Linked DNA regions of Anolis sagrei. The protein of the gene in region 1 interacts with the protein of each later gene in a biochemical or structural test. Links are inferred from orthologs where the notes say so. Each region holds a gene or a part of one and is shown on either strand. Other genes may lie near its edges. The genes, in order: PBX1 and HOXB1.

Region 1 (10,732 bases):
GATGAAAAATTACGTTCCCTGAGGGATGCATTGATAATGTGTTGTATTTTGAAGTCTTAACTACATGTCCTCTCTGGACGACCGGCCAAGAAGGGCATGGATCAAGAAAGTACATCGGGACCTCCGTACTTATTCCAGCAGCTTTTCCATATCAACAGTACTTACCAATTGAAACTGACCCAATGTAATTCCATTCACAGAGTTGCTGGACACCTCATTATTGAGTTCTGCTACAATGATGGGAACAAGAGAGAGGTGGATGTGGGCCCACTGGAGCTTTTAAGTTGGAGGTATGGAACTCACCCCCATTGTGGTCCCTCAATTCAGAAGAAAAATGAGCCAACAGAATATATTCTGCCAATTGTGTCTGCAAACCAAACATGCCAGAATCACATGACAAATGTTGAAGATGCTCTACAGCAGTGGTCCTCAACCTTCCTCATGCCACGACCCCTTGATACAGTTCCGCATGGTGTGGTGACCCCCAGCCATAATATTATTTTTGTTGCTACTTCGTAACTGTCGTTTTGCTACAGTTATGAATCGTAATGTAAATATTCGATACACAGGATGTATTTTCATTCACTGGACCAAATTTGGCACAAATACCCAATATACCCAAATTTGAATACTGGTGGGGTTGGGGGGGGGGGGGAATTGATTTTGTCATTTGGAAGCTGTTGTTGCTGGAATTTATAAGTAAAGGTAAAGATTTTCCCCTGACATTAAGTCCAGTCATGTCCAACTCTGGGGATTGGTGCTCGTCTCCATTTCTAAGCCGAAGAGCCAGCGTTGTCCATAGACACCTCCAAGGTCATGTGGCCAGCATGACTGCAAGGAACACTGCTACCTTCCCGCTGGAGCGGTACCTATTGATCTACTCACAATTGCATGTTTTTGAACTGCTAGGTTGGCAGAAGCTGAGGCTAACAGTGGAAGCTCATGCAGCTCCCCAGATTCGAACCTGCAACCTTTCAGTCAACAAGTTTTAGCAGCTCAACAGTTTAACCCACTGCGCCACTGGGGGCTCCGGGATTTATAGTTCACCAACAATCAAAAAGCAATCTAAGAGCAAAACTCAAACAATGATGGATCTGGACCAAATGATAGAATTGGGCCAAACTTTCTACACAGAACCCCCATGACCAAAAGAAAATACTGTGTTTTCTAATGGTCTTTGGCGACCCCTCTGACACCCCCTCACGATCCCCACAGGGGTCCCGACCCCCAGGTTGAGAAACACTGCTCTACAGCCTGCAGCATCAAATATTCAGCCAAGGTTTAATTCTTTATGTATTAAAAAATAAGCACATCCACTTCAATAGTATGCAAATTTGCTTTCATCTTTAATAAATAGTAAAATTATATGTATATCAAATAACTGTTTAAAATGCATTTCTTTATTATTTATTTTCAGTGAATGTTTGATTTGTATACCTATTTTATATACTTATATACCTGGGGTTCTGTAAAAAATTATTGAGCAAAAAGGGGTCACAAGTAGAAAAAGTTTAAGTAGCCTTGCCCTAAATGACCATAATCTTTCCTATAGAAAAATGCAACAAAAATGACACTGGCAGTTGTAATGAACTGGAACTCTTCCACTAGGCAGATCCATTAGGTTTGTTGTTCACATCATGACCAAATAGTAACAGTTGTTCAGTATTATGAAAAAATTAAATTGTACTACTGATCATTTTATTGGATACTTTCTGTTTTTCCTTTGTAGTTTCAAGCTGAGAAAGACATGGAGGCCGAGAACAAACTGGATAAATTAAATATTCTCTTTTTAAAGCTGCACAATTCTCATTTCTATTAATGGAAAGATGAATCTTGCTACTATACTTTGATTTTCTTTGTTTGTTACTATGCTATACAGGCAGTCTCCAAATTATGAACAAGACAGGTTCTATAGCTTTGACCTTAAGTCGAATTTGTGTGTAAGTCAGAACAGGTGCATTTCTAAGTGTAACTTCCACCAAACTATCTCTCTCTCTCTCTCTCTCTCTCTATACCCTATGCTATTCAAAGTGTGTGTAGACACACAGACATATATACTTTAGATAGCATATGAAAGGGTTGCTTTGCTATCTATGACCTTATTTAAAAGATTTCAAATCACTTTCTATTCCTGTAATATCTGGATTTTGAAAAATGTGGCACGTTGTGGAAACAAGAAGTGGTGATCGATTTTAGAATTGGTGATCAATTTGTAATACTTTTAATTGGGAGCTGCCTTGAGTCTCCATATGGAGATAGAAAGCAGGGTATAAATAATAATAATAATATTTATTTATTTATTTATTTATTTATTTATTTATTGTATTTATATACCACCTTTCTCACCCCTGGGGGGACTTAAGGCTGTTTACAACATAGTATGGCAAAAATTCAATGCCAACCTACAGTAAAAAACAATGTAAAACACACAAAAATAAAACAAACATAAGATATAAATAAAATTTAAAGATTCAGATGAAATATTAAAATCGTCCTAGTATAATTGTTAAAATCACATGATCCAAAAATTGTACACCATAGCCATTCTGAATTGTCATTGCACATGTTCCTTAATTATTCTTTGTACTGCATTATTTTAATAACCAAAAGCTTGGTCCCAAAACCATATATTGATCTTTTTTTAAAGGTCAGGAGGGAGGGCGCTGATCTAATCTTGCTGGGGAAGGAGTTCCAGAGCCAAGGGGCCCCCACAGAGAAGGCCCTGTCTCTCTTCTCTACTAACTGCACTTGTGACTTGCAAATAATAATTGGATAGTGTGTGTTGAAAAAGCACTTTGGTTTTCTCGATGTTCAGTGAGAGGTCAAACTTCTTGTATGCTTCTGCAAAGGTGTTTAGAGTGGCTTGTAGGTCTCTTCTGAATGGGCGCAGACCACATTATCATCAACATATTGGAGTTCTATAACAGTTGTTGTGACCTTGGTTTTGGCTTTCATTCTGCTGAGGTTAAATAATAATCAGTTAGGGACCCCTCTCCCCAGCACCAATTGCTGCTCTGGGCCAGAGTGAAGAGAGAGGGGGCCAGGGGACAGTTCCACTTTGTCTCCTGTGCTATGCTAATAATATAATAATATAATATAATATAGTATAATATAATGCAATATAATGTAATATAATATATTGCCTGGACAACCAGGCAAAATGGCACTACCTAGAAGAATCCCCCACCTTGTGCGATTGTGAAGCATAACAAATAACTTCACATCTGTATGCTTCCCCACAATGCAGAGGGCCAGGTCACACTCCCTCAAACTGGTGGTCCAAAGTTTGGTCCAATTCTATCGTTGGTGTGGTTCAGAATGTTATTTCGTTGTAGGTGAACTATAAATCCCAGCAACTACAACTCCCAAATGTTAAGGTCTATTTTTCTCAAACTCCCCCAGTGTTCACATTTCAGCATATTGAGTATTTGTGCCAAGTTTGGTCCAGATCCATCATTGTTTGAGTCCACAGTGCTCTCTGGATGTAGGTGAACTACAACTCCAAAAATTCAAGGTCAATGTCCACCAGATCCTCCCAGTATTTTCTCTTGGTCAAGGGAGTCCTGTGTACCAAGTTTGGTTCAATTTCATCATTGGTGGTGTTCAGAAGGCTCTTTGGTTGTAGGTAAACTATAAATCCCAGCAACTACAGCTCCCAAATGACAAAATCAATCCCCCAACCCCACCAGTATTCAAATTTGGGCATATTGGGTATTTGGGAATTGAAAATACATCCTGCATATTAGATATTTACATTACAATTCGTAACAGTAGCAAAATTATAGTTACGAAGGAACAATGAAAATGTTATGGTTGGGGGTCACCACAACGTGAGGAACTGTACTAAGGGGTCGCGGCATTAGGAAGGTTGAGAACTGGCACAGTCTGGCTTTAGACCGGGACATGGAACGGAAACAGCCTTGGTCGCCTTGGGAGATGATCTACGCTGGGAGCTAGACAGGGGGAGTGTGTCCCTGTTAGTTCTGCTGGACCTCTCAGAGGCCTTCGATACCGTCGATCATGGTATCCTTCTGGGACAACTCATAGAGATGGGACTCGGGGGTACTGCTTTGCAGTGGCTCCGGTCATTTCTTGAGGGACGGTCCCAGAAGGTGTTACTGGGTGACACCTGTTCGGCCCCACAGCCATTGTCGTGTGGAGTCCCTCAGGGATCAATTCTGTCCCCAATGTTGTTTAATATCTACATGAAGCCGCTGGGGGAGATCATTCGGAGTTTCGGACTGCGGTGTTATCTCTATGCAGATGATGTCCAGATCTGTCACTCCTTCTCACCTGTCCCCAAGGAGGCTGTCCAGACCTTGACTCGGTGTCTAGCTGCTGTGTCGGACTGGATGAGAGCTAACAAATTGAAATTGAATCCAGACAAGACAGAGGTCCTACTGGTCAGTCGTAAGGCCGAACAGGGTATAGGGTTACAGCCTGTACTGGATGGGGTTACACTCCCCCTGAAGACTCAGGTTCGCAGCTTGGGAGTGATCCTGGACTCATCGCTGAGCCTGGAACCCCAGGTCTCGGCGGTGGCCGGGAGAGCTTTTGCGCAATTCAAACTTGTGCACCAGTTGCGCCCGTACCTTGGGAAGTCTGATCTGGCCATGGTGGTCCATGCTCTTGTTACATCCTGAATAGACTACTGCAACACGCTCTATGTGGGGTTGCCCTTGAAGACTGTTCGGAAACTTCAACTAGTCCAGCGAGCAGCAGCCAGATTGCCCACTGGAGCAGCATACAGGGAGCACACTACCCCCCTGCTGTGTCAGCTCCACTGGCTGCCGGTTCAATTCCGAGCACAATTCAAGGTGCTGGTTTTGACCTACAAAACCCTGTACAGTTCCGGTCCAGTGTATCTGTCCGAACGTATTTCCCTTCACAAGTGAGGCTGGTGGGGACGAGAAGCAGGGCCTTCTCAGTGGTGGCCCCTCACCTGTGGAACTCACTCCCGGGGGAAATCAGAGCATCATCATCCCTCCTCTCCTTCAGGAGGAGGATGAAGAAGTGGTTATGGGACCAGGCCTTTGGGCAACCAGGCAATTAAATAAGACAATTAAATAAGACAATCAGACGAGCAAGATCAGCAGGATTGTCGAAGTGGAATCAAAAACAGATCTATGAGTTAGTGTACACTGACAGGGTAGGAGGAAGAACTAGGTTTGTATTGATTTTATGGATTTTACTAATTTTATTGGGATAATTGCATGAATTGTGGTAACTATGAATTGTTGTACTTTTGTGATGATTGTTTTGTGTGGCAGGCATCTAAGCGTGCCTTTGCTGTTGTAAGCCGCCCTGGGTCCCTTATGGGGTGAGAAGGGCGGGGTACAAGAACCCCAAATAAAATAAATAAATAAACCACTGCTCTAGAACATGGCCATATAGCCCGAAAAAACTACAACAAGCCTTCGAAAATATATTTATACACTACTTTTGACAGGAAATAAATAAGTAAGTTCTAACTCTGGGGACTAAAGTTCCTCAGATCAGAATCGGGATGAAAAAGCAGGGAAAAAAGAGTCAAATCGATCTCGGGACAAACCGGCTACAGAGAGAAAGAGAAAGAGGGGGGGGGGGGGAGAAAGAGAGCGAGAGAGCGAGAGGAGGGCGAGCGCGCGCCTGCCCCCTTCGGGCCCGGAGCTTCCGCGCCGCCGCCTATCTCTGAACCCGCTTTGGGTGGCGGCTGATGATGGCAGCAGAGAAAGGGGCGGAGCTAGGCGCTGTTGCCGGCGGCGGCCAATCAGAGCGGAGGGGCGCCCTTCGCAGCGCTGCCCTCGGCCCCTCCCTCTCCCTCCCTCCCTCCCTCTCCTGCTCCTTCCTGCCTGGCTCCGCCGTTCCCGTGCCAGTCCCAGTGTTCCGTCCGTCCTGCGCCTCAAACAAAAGCGGGGTCCTGCGAGGAAGGCGGCGGAGGAGTTGCGCCGCCCGAGGGAGGGGCCAGCCACGACGAGGGCCGCCCGCCCGCCCGCCTGCTTCGCTGAGGGAAAGTTTGCGCGGCTTCTCCCGTCCAGACTGAGGCGGGTTTGCTGAGGAGGGATTAAGCGGCGGGTCTCCCAGCGCCACTCTTTCTCTCCCTCACACACACAAAAGCGGAAGAGGGAAAAGCTGAGGGAGACTTCTTCTTCGCCTCCGCCGCCTCGTCCTCCTGAGGAGCCCCCCCTGGTCGGGGGCCCCGCGGCGGGCCCAGCATGGACGACCAGCCCCGGCTGATGCACTCTCACGCGGCGTCGGCGGTGGTGGGCATGGCCGGGCACCCGGGCCTGGCGCAGCACTTGCCCGACGGGGCCGGGCCCGCCGAAAGCGAGGGCGGAGGGCGCAAGCAGGACATCGGAGACATCCTCCAGCAGATCATGACCATCACCGACCAGAGCCTGGACGAGGCGCAGGCCAGGTGAGCAGGGCCGACCCTTCCCCATCCCTTCCCTTCCCTTCCCTCCTTTCTCCTCAGACATCCCTGAAGAGAGAGAGATTGGCTCGGCTAAGTTGGGTCTTGAGACCTGCAGGAACCAAGCAGCCCTTTATTCCTTTCCCAGGCAACCCTCACACCCTCTCTCCTTCTCCAAGTCCAGCTTTAGGGGTGATGTTCTCTTTCAGCATCCATCTGCTCCTCAGCTGAGATCTCAGTCCTTATATTAGTGATTTTTGAGAGAGAGAGAGAGAGAAAAGCTTCAGGGTTTATTTTCTAATACACAGAAAGACTGTCAGTGGCCAGGATTTTTGTTATTGAGATATTGGGGGGGGGGGGGGGGGATAGTGAGCCTTCTTTGCTCTTTTGGAAACTACACTGCAGATTGCACTGCATTTATTCATTTATTTTGTAGATCTCAGTCGTTATACTAGTGGTTTTTGAGATAGAGAAAAGCTTCAGGATTTATTTTCTAATACACAGAAAGACTGTCAGTGGCCAGGATTTTTGTCATTGAGATGTGTGTGTGGGGAAATAGTAAGCCTTGTTTGCTCTATTGGAAACTACATTGCCATTGCAGTGAAATATGCATAAATAAATAAATTGCACTGCATTTATTCATTTATTTCATATCCAAAGCATTGCACAAATTAGTATCAAACCGATAAAAATAGAAGGAGCGCAGGCGGCTAAATACATTTTGACCAAAAACGGGCAACAGCAATTGCATTGTCTGTGGCCTCCAACAATTCTTCCTCTGTACATGAGGCAGGGCATAGTGGGCAAGCATACAGATGGGTTTATTTTCTAACACACAGAAAGACTGTCAGTAGCAAGGATTTTTGTTATTGAGACATTGGGGGGGAAAACAGTAAGCCTTGTTTGCTCTTTTGGAAACTACACTGCAGATTGCACTGCATTTATTTCATATCAAAAGCTACACTGCCATTACAGCGCATTTATTTATTTATTTATTTTGTATCCAAAGCATTGCACAAATTAGTATCAAACTGATAAAAATAGAAGGAGCGCAGGTGGCTAAATATCTTTTGACCAAAAACGGGCAACAGCTATTGCATTGTCTGTAGCCTCCAACAATTCTTCCTCTGTACATGAGGCAGGGCAAAGTGGACAAGCATACAGATGCAGAGTTGTCTGTTCTGCTCCACGGTCACACAAGGTGTGGGATTCTTTTACATAGTGCCATTTTGCCAGGCTGTCTTTTGATCTGCCCACTCCACTTCTGAGGATGTTCAGGGACTTCCAAGTTGCCCATTCTTGGTTTGCCCCTAAAGGAAGACCCTCGTGGGGGGCCATACAGGTGGTGCACTGCATTATAAGCTCAGTGTAATAATAATAATAATCTATATAAATAAAAATGTAACGTTCGTTTGTGGGATTAACATGACTCAACAACCACTGGACGAATTGACACCAAATTTGGACACAATACACCTATCAGGCCAATGAGTAACCATAACTCATAAAAACACTGAAAAACACAGCATTACAAAAAAAAATACATTACAATGCATGCGCAAAACCACACACACTCATATATATATATATATATATATATATATACACGCAAACACACATATACAAAAATATATGCACACACAAAGCACATATACATAGACTGGGCCACAGCAACACGTGGTAGGGGACGGCTAGTAATAAATAATTTTGTGTTGTCGAAGGCTGTCATGGCCGGAATCACTGGTTTGCTGTGAGTTTTCCGGGCTGTATGCCCATGTTTCAGAAGCATTCTCTTCTGATGTTTCACCCACATCTATGGCAAGCATCCTCAGAGGTTGTGAGGTCTGTTGGAAGCTAGGCAAGTGAGGTTTATCTATCTGTGCAATAGCCAATAGTGGAAGAAAAGACATTCAACAGATATATTAAACTCACTTGCCTGGTTTCCAACAGACCTCACAACCTCAAAGGATGCCGGCCATAGATGTGGGTGAAATGTCAGGAGGGAATGCTTCTGGAACTTGGCCATATAGCCCAGAAAATTCGATATTTTTTATTTCTTGCCCGCCTCTCCTCAAGGCTCAAGATGAGTTACAGCATTACTAAAACATAAACACAATCATTTAAATCACTCCTATAATGCCGTTTTAGATTATATGAGTCTATACTGACCATATAATAAGGTGCAAGGATGCATGATAATGGCAGCGTAAGTGGGGCCTTCTCTGTCATAACTACCATTTCAGTCTCCTAGGACCCTTCCACACAGCCCTATAAGTCAAAATATCAAGGTAGGTAATCCACAATATCTGCTTTGAACTGGGTTATCTGAGTCCACGCTGCCATATAACCCAGGGCCCTTCCACACAGCCCTGTATCCCAGAATATAAAGGCAGAAAATCCCACAATATCTGCTTTGAACTGGGTTATCTGAATCCACACTCTGATAATATGGGATTTTCTGCCTTGATATTCTGGGATATAGGGCTGTGTGGAAAGGCCCCCGGTTCAAAGTAGATAATGTGAGATTTTATACAGCTGTGTGGAAGGGGCCTTAACCACAGTCTGAAAAGAAAAGTTAAACTCAGCTAATCTGATGGAAATCAATGGACTTGATCTCCCACATTTCTTGTTGCTCTGTGGCCTTCCCTGTGAGGAGAGCATGCTTTCTTCTTTTGTATTGGTAAACACTGCAGCTTTAGTTAGAATTGGGGCCCTTCCACTTAGCCATATAACCCAGAATATCTGCACTGAACTGGGTTATCTGAATCCCCACAGCCATATAATCCAGTTCAGTGTGGATTTTATACAGCTATGTGGAAGGGACTCTGTGTTTGGTGTCTGTCTTTTCTCCACAGTGTCAAGACACACCAGATTTAAGGTTATTAATTGAATACAGAGCCTAATAGAAACCAACCACTAAAATGCTAATTCATATCCTTATAGCCGTTGAACACAGAAGGTATTTCCAGTTAGGTGACCATGGGGAAATCGCTGTGTGACAATAGCCACCGGAATATCTTGAGGACACTGGAATATGAGGCAAGCTGCACAGCTCTGTTGTGTTATCTCTCACTTGTTCACTTTGTCACACAAGCCATCATACAGCTTGGAGCTCATGGAACGAGAAGGAATTTAAAAATGATCTTGGGTTTATTTTGAAATGCTTCAGTATATCTCCAATTGTATTTTTCCATTTGGGTGATTTAATAGTTCTAATAGTCTCATGTTACACATTTTATTTTAAAAAATAGTGTTTCTTAAAAAAGAAACAAGGCATTCAACAGAATCTGGCAAGTAAAGCATGAAGGATTTTGCAAAACATTACCTCAACGGTAATATGCAACACCATTTGAAAAATGCAAAAAACAAAGACATGATCTTACAGAAGGGAAAGGAGGGAGGGGACTGGCACACTGTCAATTAGATTTTACCTGAAGAAGAACTCAGTATTTCAACATCTGCATTTTGTATTATGCAGTGGAGTAACCAATAATAAACTATTGCTGGGAAACTGCACATTTATTAGGCTGTAACAAATCACTTTGAGCCCCATGTCTGTCTGTCTGTTCAGAAATATTTTATATCTCATCTTTTTCCTAGTCCAAGATTGAAAAAGTTTAAAACATAAAAATATTTTAAAATTCACAAAATACAAAATTTAAAAGTGATTACACTATAAAAATTAAAACTAGCTAAACACATAAATCATTAAAATACATCAGAACAACTGGTAGAAAATCCATCGAATTCAGTATGATGGTTAGACTGAGAAATGCCATCTCAACAAACTTTTGGCCGGTGTTTCCCAGGATGGCTGAAGAAAAGGCAAGGAGGAGTATTATGTTATTAAATGTTTTGTGCATAAATGTATTTTTGGTGGAAGCCAACACATTGATAATGACGTGATTTCCCCCCAACTGATTAATGTTTACATGTTCCTTGTAGTACTGACAGATTTTTTAAATAAGAAAAGCATTTTTGTTTTTCTTATAGCAACTAGTTCTATATTTTAAGGTATTTCAGGGATGTCAGATTGAAGTGATGATGATGTTGCTGTAGTCTTTCTGGGGTTTTTTATACTGTCTTGAGTGCCTGGCCAAATACATATTCTGGAAACAGAAGCAGTGCTTGTGTACCAGATGCACACACAGAAGCAGTCCAGCTGTGGCACAAGAATGTCAGCCCTCTCAAGCAGAGGATTTGGGGTGCCACTAAAGGCAACAGAGGAAGAGGGGGCAGATTGATTTGTCACATGGAGCACAACACCCTGGGTTGTTTTCCTGTATAAGTCCCATTGTAGACATTAGGAACTGTCCAAAGTCTTCACAGACCTTCTGATGA
Region 2 (10,729 bases), on another chromosome or scaffold:
CTTCAAAATTCAGCAGTCAAAATACAAGTATTTTCCCCAATCCCACCACCAGGAACAGTTTACTACTCTTGCTATACTTATTACAATTGTTCAATCATGAGGATAGTCTTATTTAACTCCTTATATCTATCTTTCCCCTTTGTTCTGAAAATGAGACCCTTCCATTTGCCTCCCAGGTTCTTCTGATTTGGCCCTTTCTCTGTTGACATTGACAAAAGGGAGGCGACTCCCTCCACAACAGAAGGGAGAACCAGGCCAGCAACATTTATTTACTTGTTAGCGCGCCCAGGACAAGAGTAACTTCCAATCCGACGCCCACGCTCATTTGTTACTTGTCAGGATATTTACTGGGCGCTCAGCCCACGAAGAGTGTGAGCAGAGGGTTCAGGCAGGCCAAAAGTTCACTTGGAGAGCTAAGGGGGGAATTCTGTTTTGTTTGGGAGTTTTTTTCTTCCCCTTCAGCTCAGCCAATTTGGCCCTGAGAAACATTTGCTGGGAAGGCAAAAGACTAGGTGACAACCTTGCCCCTTTCCTCTCAACGAAAACAAGCCTTCTGAGGCATCCCAATGCGTTATTTGAGCTCTGTGCTTTGTAAAATCTCCAAGTCTTTTTGTTAAAGGCTCCTCCCTAAACTACAAACCCCAAAACTCTTCAGGAGGCAGTAACCGGATTTGTGAGGTCAATATATCAGGCATCCTCAGAGGGTGTGAGGTTTGTTGAATACTAGGGTTTATATGAGGGCTGAATGAAAACGAATGCCTCCATCAACAGATGGCAGTACTGGTATGCGGCAGGTACTGGCTTGTTCAGTAGACTCTCCTCTACAGTTCCATTTTGGCAGGAAGCCTTAGCATTGAACAGTTGTGCTGTTAAAGTGTGAAGTATGGAACCCTGCACAGACAGTTGGTCAATGCGACTTAAGCAGTGTGCAGTCATTGAATTCTTGACAGCAGAAAATGTCATCCCAAAGAAGATTCATCAGCTTATGCAAACTGTGTTGATGTAAGTACTGTGCATCCTTGGGGTGATACCTTCTGCTGTCAAGAATTCAATGGTTGCAGTCACATTGACTAACCGCTCAATGCTAAGGCTAGGTTCTTGTGGGTTTTTTCGGACTATATAGCCATGTTCTAGAGGCATTTTCTCCTGACGTTTCGCCTGCATCTATGGCAAGCATTCTCAGAGGTAGTGAGGTCCTCACTACCTCTGAGGATGCTTGCCATAGATGCAGGTGAAATGTCAGGAGAAAATGCCTCTAGAACATGGCTATATAGCCCAAAAAAACCCACAAGAACCTAGTGATTCCAGCCATGAAAGCCTTCGACAATAGAATGCTAAGGCTTCCTGCCAAAATGGAACTGTAGAGGAAAGTCTACTGAACAAGACAGTACCTGCCACATACCAGTACTGCCATCTATTGAGGTGGAGGCATTACTTTTCATTGAACCCTCCTATATCTGTGGAAAGTCCAGGGTGGGTAAAAGAACTCTTGTCTGTTTGAGGCAAGTGTTAATGTAGCAACTGGCCATCTTGATTAGCATTGAAAGGCCTTGCAGTTTCAAGGACTGGCTGCTTAATTCCTGAGGGAATCCTTTGTTAGGAGGTGTTAGCTGACCTTGTTTTCTGTCTGGAATTCCCCTCTTTTCTGAATGTTGCTCTTTATTTACTGTCCTGATTTTAGATTTTTTAAAAATATGGTAGCCAGATTTTGTTCATTTTCATAGTTTCCTTCTTTCTGTTGAAATTGTCCACATGCTTGTGGGTTTTAGTGGCTTCTCTGTGTAGTCTGATATGGTGGTTGTTAGAGTGGTCCAACATTTCTGTGTTCTGAAAGAATATGCTGTGACAGAAAGGTGTATGCTTTCAAGTTTGCTAGAACTTTTCACCAGCACAAAAAATAGGGATTGTTGTTTTCAAGCTCTGCTATGACTAACTTCTCAGGTTGAGTTAATCTGCGTGCCTTTCATTATTCCTTTATTTGTGTCTGGGCAATCCTGCATTTGGTGGTTCCTATGTGGACTTGTCCAGCGCTGCATGGTTTATGGTAGACTCCTGCAGAGGTGAGAGGATCCCTCTTGTCCTTTGCTGAAAATAGCATTTGTTGGGTTTTCTTGCTGCAGTGGTTCTCGACCATCCTAATGCCACAACCCCTTAATACAGTTCCTCATGTTGTGGTGACCCCCAACCATAACATTATCTTTGTTGCTACTTCATAACTGTAATTTTGCTACTGTTATGAATCATAATGCAAATATCTGATATGCAGGATGTATTTTCATTCACTGGACCAGTTTGGGCACAAATACCCAAAACATTCAAATTTGAATACTGGTGGGGTTAGGGAGATTGATTTTGTCATTGGGAGTTGTAGTTGCTGGGATTTATAGTTCACCTACAATCAAAGAGCATTCTGAAGTCCACCTACAATGGAATTGAACCAAACTTGACACACAAAACTTCCATGACCAACAGAAAATACTGGGTTTGATGGGTACTAACCTTGAGTTTGGGAGTTGTAGTTCTCCTACATCCAGAGAGCACTGTGGACTCAAACAATGATGGATCTGGACCAAATTCGATATGAATCCTCAATATGCCCAAATGTTAACACAGGTGGAGTTGGGGGGGGGGGGGGGGATAAATCTTGACATTTTGGAGTTGTAGTTGCTGGGACCTATAGTTCACTTACAATCAAAGAGCATTCTGTATCCCACCAGTTATAGAATTGGGCCAAACTTCCCACACAGAATCCTCATGACCAACAGAAAATACTGTTTTTTCTGATTGTCTTTAGCGACCCTCACGACCCCCCCCCCCCCCCCAGGGGTCTCAACCCTCAGGTTGAGAAAGGCTGTTGTAGGGGATCTGTAGATTTGTTTGTAGGTTGTGTTTATTCATCAGCTTCCCAATGCTGTCAATGGTTCCCTTGATATATGGACTTTCCACAGATATATAAACCCCTCTTGCCTAGTTTCCAACAGACCTCACAACCTCTGAGGATGCCTGCCATAGATGCAGGCGAAACGTCTGGAGAGAATGCTTCTGGAACATGGACATACAGCCCAGGAAAACTCACAGCAACCCAGTGATTCCGGCCATGAAAGCCTTCCACAACACGCTGTCATAATAGTTTCTGAGGAGAAAGGAACAAGGGTGAGAAATCGTGTGAAAAACTCGAGGTGGAGAGGGATGAAAATGAACCACAACACCAATGCAGGGAGAGATGGCTTAGACTTAGAGAGATGGATGGATAGGGTAGATCGCGTTTCAATTTCGTTTGGGCTCTCCCCACCCCCACCCCTCTTTCAACAAAAGGCAAATTGCATTTCTAACTTTATTTCACAACTCATTAGAATGTTGATTGAATTAAATTGCTCTTAAGCACTCCGCTTCTAGACACAAAGGCGAGGGAGGCGCAGAGCGAAGCTATTCGGGGGCTTGGGATTTTATTTCTATTTTTTTCCCCTTGAAGGGACAGCAACAAAAGCACTTTAAGCAAACTCCATAAACGTGGAAGTAGCTTTTCGGTGATTAATTTCTTGTAACGAGGGGAGGGAAAGCATCCTCTCCTCTGTCGCTCTTTCCTCTTCCCACCCTCGCCATACTGAGTCTCCTCAAGTTGGAAGGGGAGCCAAACTCTTCTCTCCCAATGGAAAGTTGTGATGATTTTTGCCACCTTTATAGGAACTGGAATTCGGGGAGAGAAGAATGGGTTGCTACGAGTTTTCCGGGCTGCATGGCCATGTTCCAGAAGCATTATTTCCTGACGTTTCGCCTGCATCTATGGCAGGCATTCTCAGAGGTTGGAAACTAGGCAATTGGGTTTATATATCTGTAGAATTTCCAGAGTGGGAGAAAAAAACTCTTGTCTGTTTGAGGCAGATGTGAATGTTGCAATTGGCCACATTGATTAGCATTGAATAGCCTTTTAGCTTCAAAGCCTGGGGGAATCCTTTGTCGGGAACTGTTAGCTGGCCCTGATTTCTTCATGTCTGGAATCCCCCTGTTTTTTGAGTGTTGTTCTTTATTTACTGTCCTGATTTTAGAGGTTTTTTTTTAATACTGGTAGCTAGATTTTGTTCATTTTCATGGTTTCCTCCTTTCTGTTGAAATTGTCCACATGGTAGTGGATTTCAGTGACTTCTCTGTGTAGTCTGACATGGTAGTTGTTACAGTGGTCCAATATTTTTGTGTTCTCAAAGAACTCTTGTGTGTTTGAGACAGGTATGAATGTTGCAATTGGCCACCTTGATTAGCATTGAATAGCCTTTCAGCTTCAAGGTCTGGCTGCTTACTGCCTAGGGGAACCTTTTGTCGGGAACTGTTAGCTGGCCCTGATTTCTTCATGTCTGGAATCCTTTTTTAGTGTTGTTCTTTACTTACTGTCCTGATTGTAGAGTTTTATTAATATTGGTAGCCAGATTTTGTTCATTTTCATGGTTTCCTCCTTTCTGTTGAAATTGTCCACATGGTTGTGGATTTCAGTGACTTCTCTGTGTAGTCTAACATGGTAGTTGTTACAGTGGTCCAGCATTCTTGTGTTCTCAAAGAACTCTTGTGTGTTTGAGGCAGGTGTGAATGTTGCAATCTGTCACTTTGATTAGCATTGAATAACCTTTCAGCTTCAAGGTCTGGCCGCCAAGGGAAGTACTGTGCTCTGAAATGAATCAATCAGGGCCAGCTAATACCTGCCCCCAGGCAGTAAGCAGCCAGAGCTTGAAGCTGAAAGGCTATTCAATGCTAATCAAGGTAGTAATAGAATCATAGAATTGGAAGAGACCTCGTGGGCCATCCAGTCCAACCCCCTGCCAAGAAGCAGGAAAATTGCATTCAAAGCACCCCCGACAGATGGCCATATGCCCAGTGGTTCTCAACCTGGGGTCCCCAGATGTTTTTGGCCTTCAACTCCCAGAAATCCTAACAGCTGGTAAACTGGCAGGGATTTCTGGGAGTTGTAGGCCAAAAACATCTGAGGACCCCAGGTTGAGAACCACTGACTCTGTTTAAAATCTTCCAAAGAAGGAGCCTCTACCACATTCAATTGCAACATTCACACTTGCCTCAAACAGACAAGAGTTCTGTCTTCTCAACCGCTGAGGATGCCTACCATAAATGAAGGGAAAATGAAGGAGGGAATGCTTCTGGAATTTGGCCATACAGCCCGGAAAACTCACAGCAGCCGAGACAAACAAAGAGCAACACTAAAAATAAATAAATAAATAAACCCCCAAAAAACCCCCAAAAAAACCAAAACAAAACAAAACAAAAAAAAAACAACCAGGAGAATTCCAGACAAGAATAAATCAGGGGCAGCTAATATCTCCCAACAAAGGATCCCTGGGCAGCAATCAGCCAGGCTTTGAAGCTACAAGGCCATTAATTTATAATAAAGATGGCCAATTGCAACAATTACACTTGCCTCAAACAGACAAGAGTTCTTTCTCCCATCCTGGACATTCCAAAGTTACATAAACCCTCAATTGCCTAGTTTCCAATAGATCTCACAACCTCTGAGGATGCCTGCCATAGATGTAGGTGAAACGTCAGGAAAGAATGCTTTTGGAACATGGCCATACAGCCCAGAAAACTCACAGTGATTCGGGGCATGGAAACCTTCGGCAACACAGAGAAGAGTGACTTTTTAACACATAGAAGGGACCTGGCATAGTGCTAACTTCTCCTCCCCCATCCTTCTTCTATCACTTCCTTTTCTGCCCTTCTTCTTCTTCTTCTCCTCTCTAAGGGGGGAGGGGGGAGAAGAAACACACACACCCCCTTTGACACCTCCGTGTTGTTAATCAGATCGATGGGGAAAAGTTTGATTGAAGTTCCTTTGTCATGCAAATGCCAAGGACTTGATGGATGATGGTAGATATCTGACAAACTTCGGGAGGCCTTTGCTCATTGGGCTCCAAAGCCACCACGTGGTCCGGACCCCCTTTCCACCCTACCCCCAACCCCACACACTCTACACCCCCCCCCAAACCTCTTCCAAGAGTCCCTTTCTGAAGGCTCTAGGAAGGCGGGGTGGGGATATGGGGGCTCCTGGAGTCGAGGTCCATAGATGGGAAGGGACTCTCTCTCCTTCTCCCTGGCTCGCTTCCCTTTCCCTCCCCCCTTTAACTTTGACATACTATCCAAAGGTTGTAGGGCAGAAGAAATCCCCGTAAAACAGGGCGACCCTCTTCCATCATTGGCACCGGAACAATACCTAGAATGAACTTCTTCTTAGACTATGCAATTTGTAACCGTGGGACGAGCGCCTACGCGCCCAAGGACTTCCACCCTCACCAGCAGCAGACCCAACAGCAGCAGCAGCAGCCCTTCGACCCAGGAGCCCCTTCTTTCCCATCTGGTCCCGGTGCTTCTCCAGCTTTTGACAGCTACACTTCAGACGGACGCTATGAGGCGGCTGGGGTGGGCCCTGCTGCTGGACCCAGCGCCCAACAGAGCTTCCACCACCATCAGCACCACCAGCATCAACTGCCTCCCAACCCCACTGGCCTTGGTGTCCCCTTCGCCCGGTCCTCCCAGCCTGGGGCAGGCGGTGGGGGCTTCTACGGAGCAGGCTTCCTCAACCAACAGTTCTACCTCGGCCCCCCAGAGACGGAGGGAGCCTACTTCCACCAGCCTTCGGCCTACCCGGTGGCTTTGGCGGCCCCCTCCACGCCTCCCTCTTCTTCTTCGGCCTCTCCTTCTTCTGCTTCGGGCCTGGGGAGCCTACCTGACAGCTTCTGCGCCGATCCCACGGGCCAGTTCCAGCCACCCCACCTCTATGGGGCTGAACAAGGCGGCTATTTCCCTTTCGGCAACCTCTCGCCCCCTTTACCTGAGCACAAAGACCCCAGGGCTGCCTCTTTGACCCAACACGGGGAGGCTGCCAACGCCACCAGCCAAACCTTCGACTGGATGAAGGTGAAAAGGAATCCCCCCAAAACAGGTAACTCCCAGGCAGCACTTTTGGGAAACCTGGGGCCCTTCCACACAGCCCAATATCCCAGAATAACAAGGCAGAAAATCCCACAATATCTGAGTGTGGACTCAGATAACCCAGTTCAAAGCAGATATTGTGGGATTTTCTGCCTTGATATTCTGGGATATAGGGCTGTGTGCAAAGGCCCTGAGTGTGGACTCAAATAATCCAGTTCAAAGCAGTTATTGTGGGATTTTCTGCCTAGCTATTCGGAGATATAGGGCTGTGTGGAAAGGCCCTGAGTTTGGACTCAAATAACCCAGTACAAAGCAGATATTGTGGGATTTTCTGCCTTGATATTCAGGGATATAGGGCTGCGTGGAAAGGCCCTGAGTGTGGACTCAAATAATCCAGTTCAAAGCAGCTATTGTGGGATTTTCTGCCTTGATTTTATGGGATATAGGGCTGTGCGGAAGGGCCCTGAGTGTGGACTCAAATAACCCAGTTCAAAGCAGATCTAGGGCTGTGCGGAAGGGCCCTGAGTTAGGACTCAAATAACCCAGTTCAAAGCAGATAATGTAGGATTTTCTGCCTTGATATTCTAGGATATAGGGCTGTGTGGAAGAGCCCCAAGAGAAGGGGAGAAATGGTGTCAGGAGCGACTCGAGAAACTGTAAGTCTCTTCTGGTGTCAGAAGCATCCAGTTTGACCCCCATCTTGTCCTACCTCAAAGCATCCCAACAGAAGCATCTGCCTTACTGGAGATGTAACTATGACCAAACTTGGGAGAGGGATTATTTTTGGACTACAACTCTAAGGCCCCTTCCACACAACTGAATAAAACCCCACATTTTCTGCTTTGAACTGGGATATATGGCAGTGTGGACTCAGATATCTCAGTTCAAAGCAGATATTGTGGGATTTTCTGCCTTGATATTCTGGGATATAGGGCTGTGTGGAAGGGCCCCAAGAGAAGGGGAGAAATGTAGGGTTCAGGAAGCCACCTCCTTCTACACTGCACCCAGGGGTTTGTGTGTGTGTGTGTCAGGAGCGGGTTGATAACGCTTCTGGTGTGAGAAGCATCCAGGTTGACTCCCACCTTGTTGTACCTCAAAGCATCCCAAGAGAAGCATCTCCCTTCCTGGAGATGTAACTATGACCAAACTTGGGAGAGGGGTTCTTTTCCGACTACAACTCTAAGGCCCCTTCCAAACAGCCATATAACCCAGAATATCAAGGCAGAAAATCCCACAATATCTGCTTTGAAGTGGGTTATCTGAGGCCCCTTCCACACAGCTGAATAAAATTCCACATTATCTGCTTTGAACTGGGATATATGGCAATGTGGACTCAAATAACCCAGTTCTAAGCAGATATTGTGGGTTATTCTGCTTTGATATTCTGGGTTATATGGCTGTGTGGAAGGGCCCTCAGTCCGCACTTCCATATATCCCAGTTCAAAGCAGAAAATGTGGGATTTCATTCAGCTGTGTGGAAGACGCCTAAGAACACCCCTAGCCAGCATGACTGGGGATCTGGAAGATCCTAATTCTCTCTTGGCCACAAATAGTTCTCTCCTTTGCTTAGATGCCTTTCCAAGACCTGCTTTGCCACCAGTTATATCCAGAATAGCAGGTTTTTCCCTTTGTCAGTCTAACTACTCTAGGGAAGAGGTTAGATTGGGAGAAGGGAATGTATAAGGAAGAGGATGGGATGGGGATGATGCTTCCAAAGATTGTAGAAGGAAGAAAGAAGACCAGCATCCTTGCCTGATGCCCTGGTCCAGAAGAAAAGGGTAAAAACTGCAGGAAAGGGAAGTGTTTGTAACTCCAAGCTTGTCCACGGTTTGTCGGGCTTTCCTAGGCAAGGGATACTCAGGTTGGATGTACACTGCCCTATATCCCAGGATCTTATCCCAGATTATCTGCTTTGAACTGGATTATATGAGTCTACACTGCCAAACAATCTGTGATAAGGTCCTAAGATATAGGGCAGTGTAGGTCCAATCTCTAAGCTTGACTCCTTAGCTCTGAAATATAGTCTACAGCACCTAGTATTCATTGGTAGTCTCCTGTCCAAGTACTAACCAGAGCTGATCCTACTTAGCTTCCAAAATCAGAACGGATCTGACCCTTTTAGGGCATTTAAGAGACTGAATTGGTTCATATGGTAAACCAAGACAGAAAATATTGCTCACCCCAGAGAAATAACCATTTAGTCACAGAACAAGGGTGACTTTCCCATCCCACAATTTGGATATTAGAAACTTTAGTTCCATTAAGTTTCATGTATTTGCCATCCAAATATCACAGTATGCCTTTTTTCGTGGGCTCTATGGAGAGCTCTCAACAAAAAAGAGAGCTTCCACATCAATCAAAGGAGGGGACAGGAGTTGGCTTAGACTAAAGGGAAAGTGCGCCTTTCTCCTCACCCCCAACCCCTCTAGGCCCAACACACACATACACACTGGTATTTCGTTCATTCTTTGCGACACCAACCTTTGGGTCTTTGCTCACTACGAAATAAGTTTGTTTTCCTTGAAAATGGTTCTGTTTGAGAAGATGGTCCATTGCCACAGACCACAACAGAGTTATCTCCAGGTTTAGGGAATGAGAACTATCTTACACAAGATCTAGAACAATAAAAGCTATGGACACAAAGGATCTCAGTGCTCAGGAAAGTTCCCTTTAAGACTATGGATCCCAGAATCCCCAGAAGTAGTTGTAGTTTCTGATCCTAAAAGAGCTTTACAGTGAGTCAAGGTACAAGAATAAGCAGAAAGAGAGACACTTCCCACAAGCATACCTCAATTATTCACTCCTGTAGGCTTCATCAGTTCAAAATGGGAAAGTCCTGATTTAAGGAAAGCCAATTTCAGCACTGAATTTTGTTGGGTACCTTGAGCCCAAACACAATTCTCTATATGGAGAAGGGGAAAACGAGAGCCCTCCACACAGCCATATAACTCAGAATATAAAGGCAGAAAATCCCACAAGATCTGCTTTGAAGGGGATTATCTGAGTCCACACTGCCATATATTCCAATTCAAAGTAGATAATGTGGGATTTTATTCAGTTGTGTGGAAGGGGCCTGAGTTCCATCGTTGTGCAAATGGCTTCGGGATATCTGAAGGCTTCTTTGTGCAAGAACAAAACAAACAAACAAAAACACAAACAATACAACTATAGAGGGTTCCTTTGCACTGTAGAATGAAAGCAGTGTGACACCACTTTAACTGCCATGGCTCAGTGCTATGAAATCCTGGGAGTTGTAGTTTTATTCGTTTAGCCCAACTTTCTAGCTCTGGTCCATTGCTCATCCAAACCAGACTGGAATCAGAAATAACACTTCTGCAAACTGCTTTGATTGGATGAATCTCCTCTAATAGGGATCAATGGGGGTCTAGATTTGAGGTTCTGGCTTTATTTTAACTCCACATAAAGCCAAGGAGGCTCATCCCCAGGATTTACAATGAGATTTAGGGATGGGGTGGTTATGCTGAATTAAGACATTTGGGGTGACTTTAAGGGCAAGCTGAGGACCCATTTGTAATGCCTCCAACCTGGTGCAGAGTTTAATTCCTTCATCACTAAGCAATCCTAGAGTCAAACGCAGCAACGAATAGTCATGTTTCCAGACCTCAAGGTGTACTTTTCTATAATATTACAGAATATTATAATATTACTATTAATGTTAATATTAACAGTATGTAATATTACTACTAATAATATGTAATATTATTATTATTAATATGTAATATTAATAATAATATGTAATATTACTATTGCTTCTATAGGGAGTAGAGGTCTCCTTTAT

What was found.
Region 2: the proteins of PBX1 (region 1) and HOXB1 are reported together in a solved structure, tested with the Homo sapiens proteins (2 studies listed by BioGRID and IntAct, with this or other methods). The link is inferred for Anolis sagrei from reciprocal best matches to the Homo sapiens genes PBX1 and HOXB1.

The regions. Positions count from the first base shown.
Region 1 is NC_090024.1:131,831,250-131,841,981, forward strand, and holds the start of PBX1 (pre-B-cell leukemia transcription factor 1), read left to right. Parts: upstream 1-5,796; 5' UTR 5,797-6,194; coding exon 6,195-6,397; intron 6,398-10,732. UniProt on the Homo sapiens protein: Transcription factor which binds the DNA sequence 5'-TGATTGAT-3' as part of a heterodimer with HOX proteins such as HOXA1, HOXA5, HOXB7 and HOXB8. Binds to the DNA sequence 5'-TGATTGAC-3' in complex with a nuclear factor which is not a class I HOX protein.
Region 2 is NC_090026.1:33,307,437-33,318,165, forward strand, and holds the start of HOXB1 (homeobox protein Hox-B1), read left to right. Parts: upstream 1-6,216; coding exon 6,217-6,940; intron 6,941-10,729. UniProt on the Homo sapiens protein: Sequence-specific transcription factor which is part of a developmental regulatory system that provides cells with specific positional identities on the anterior-posterior axis. Acts on the anterior body structures.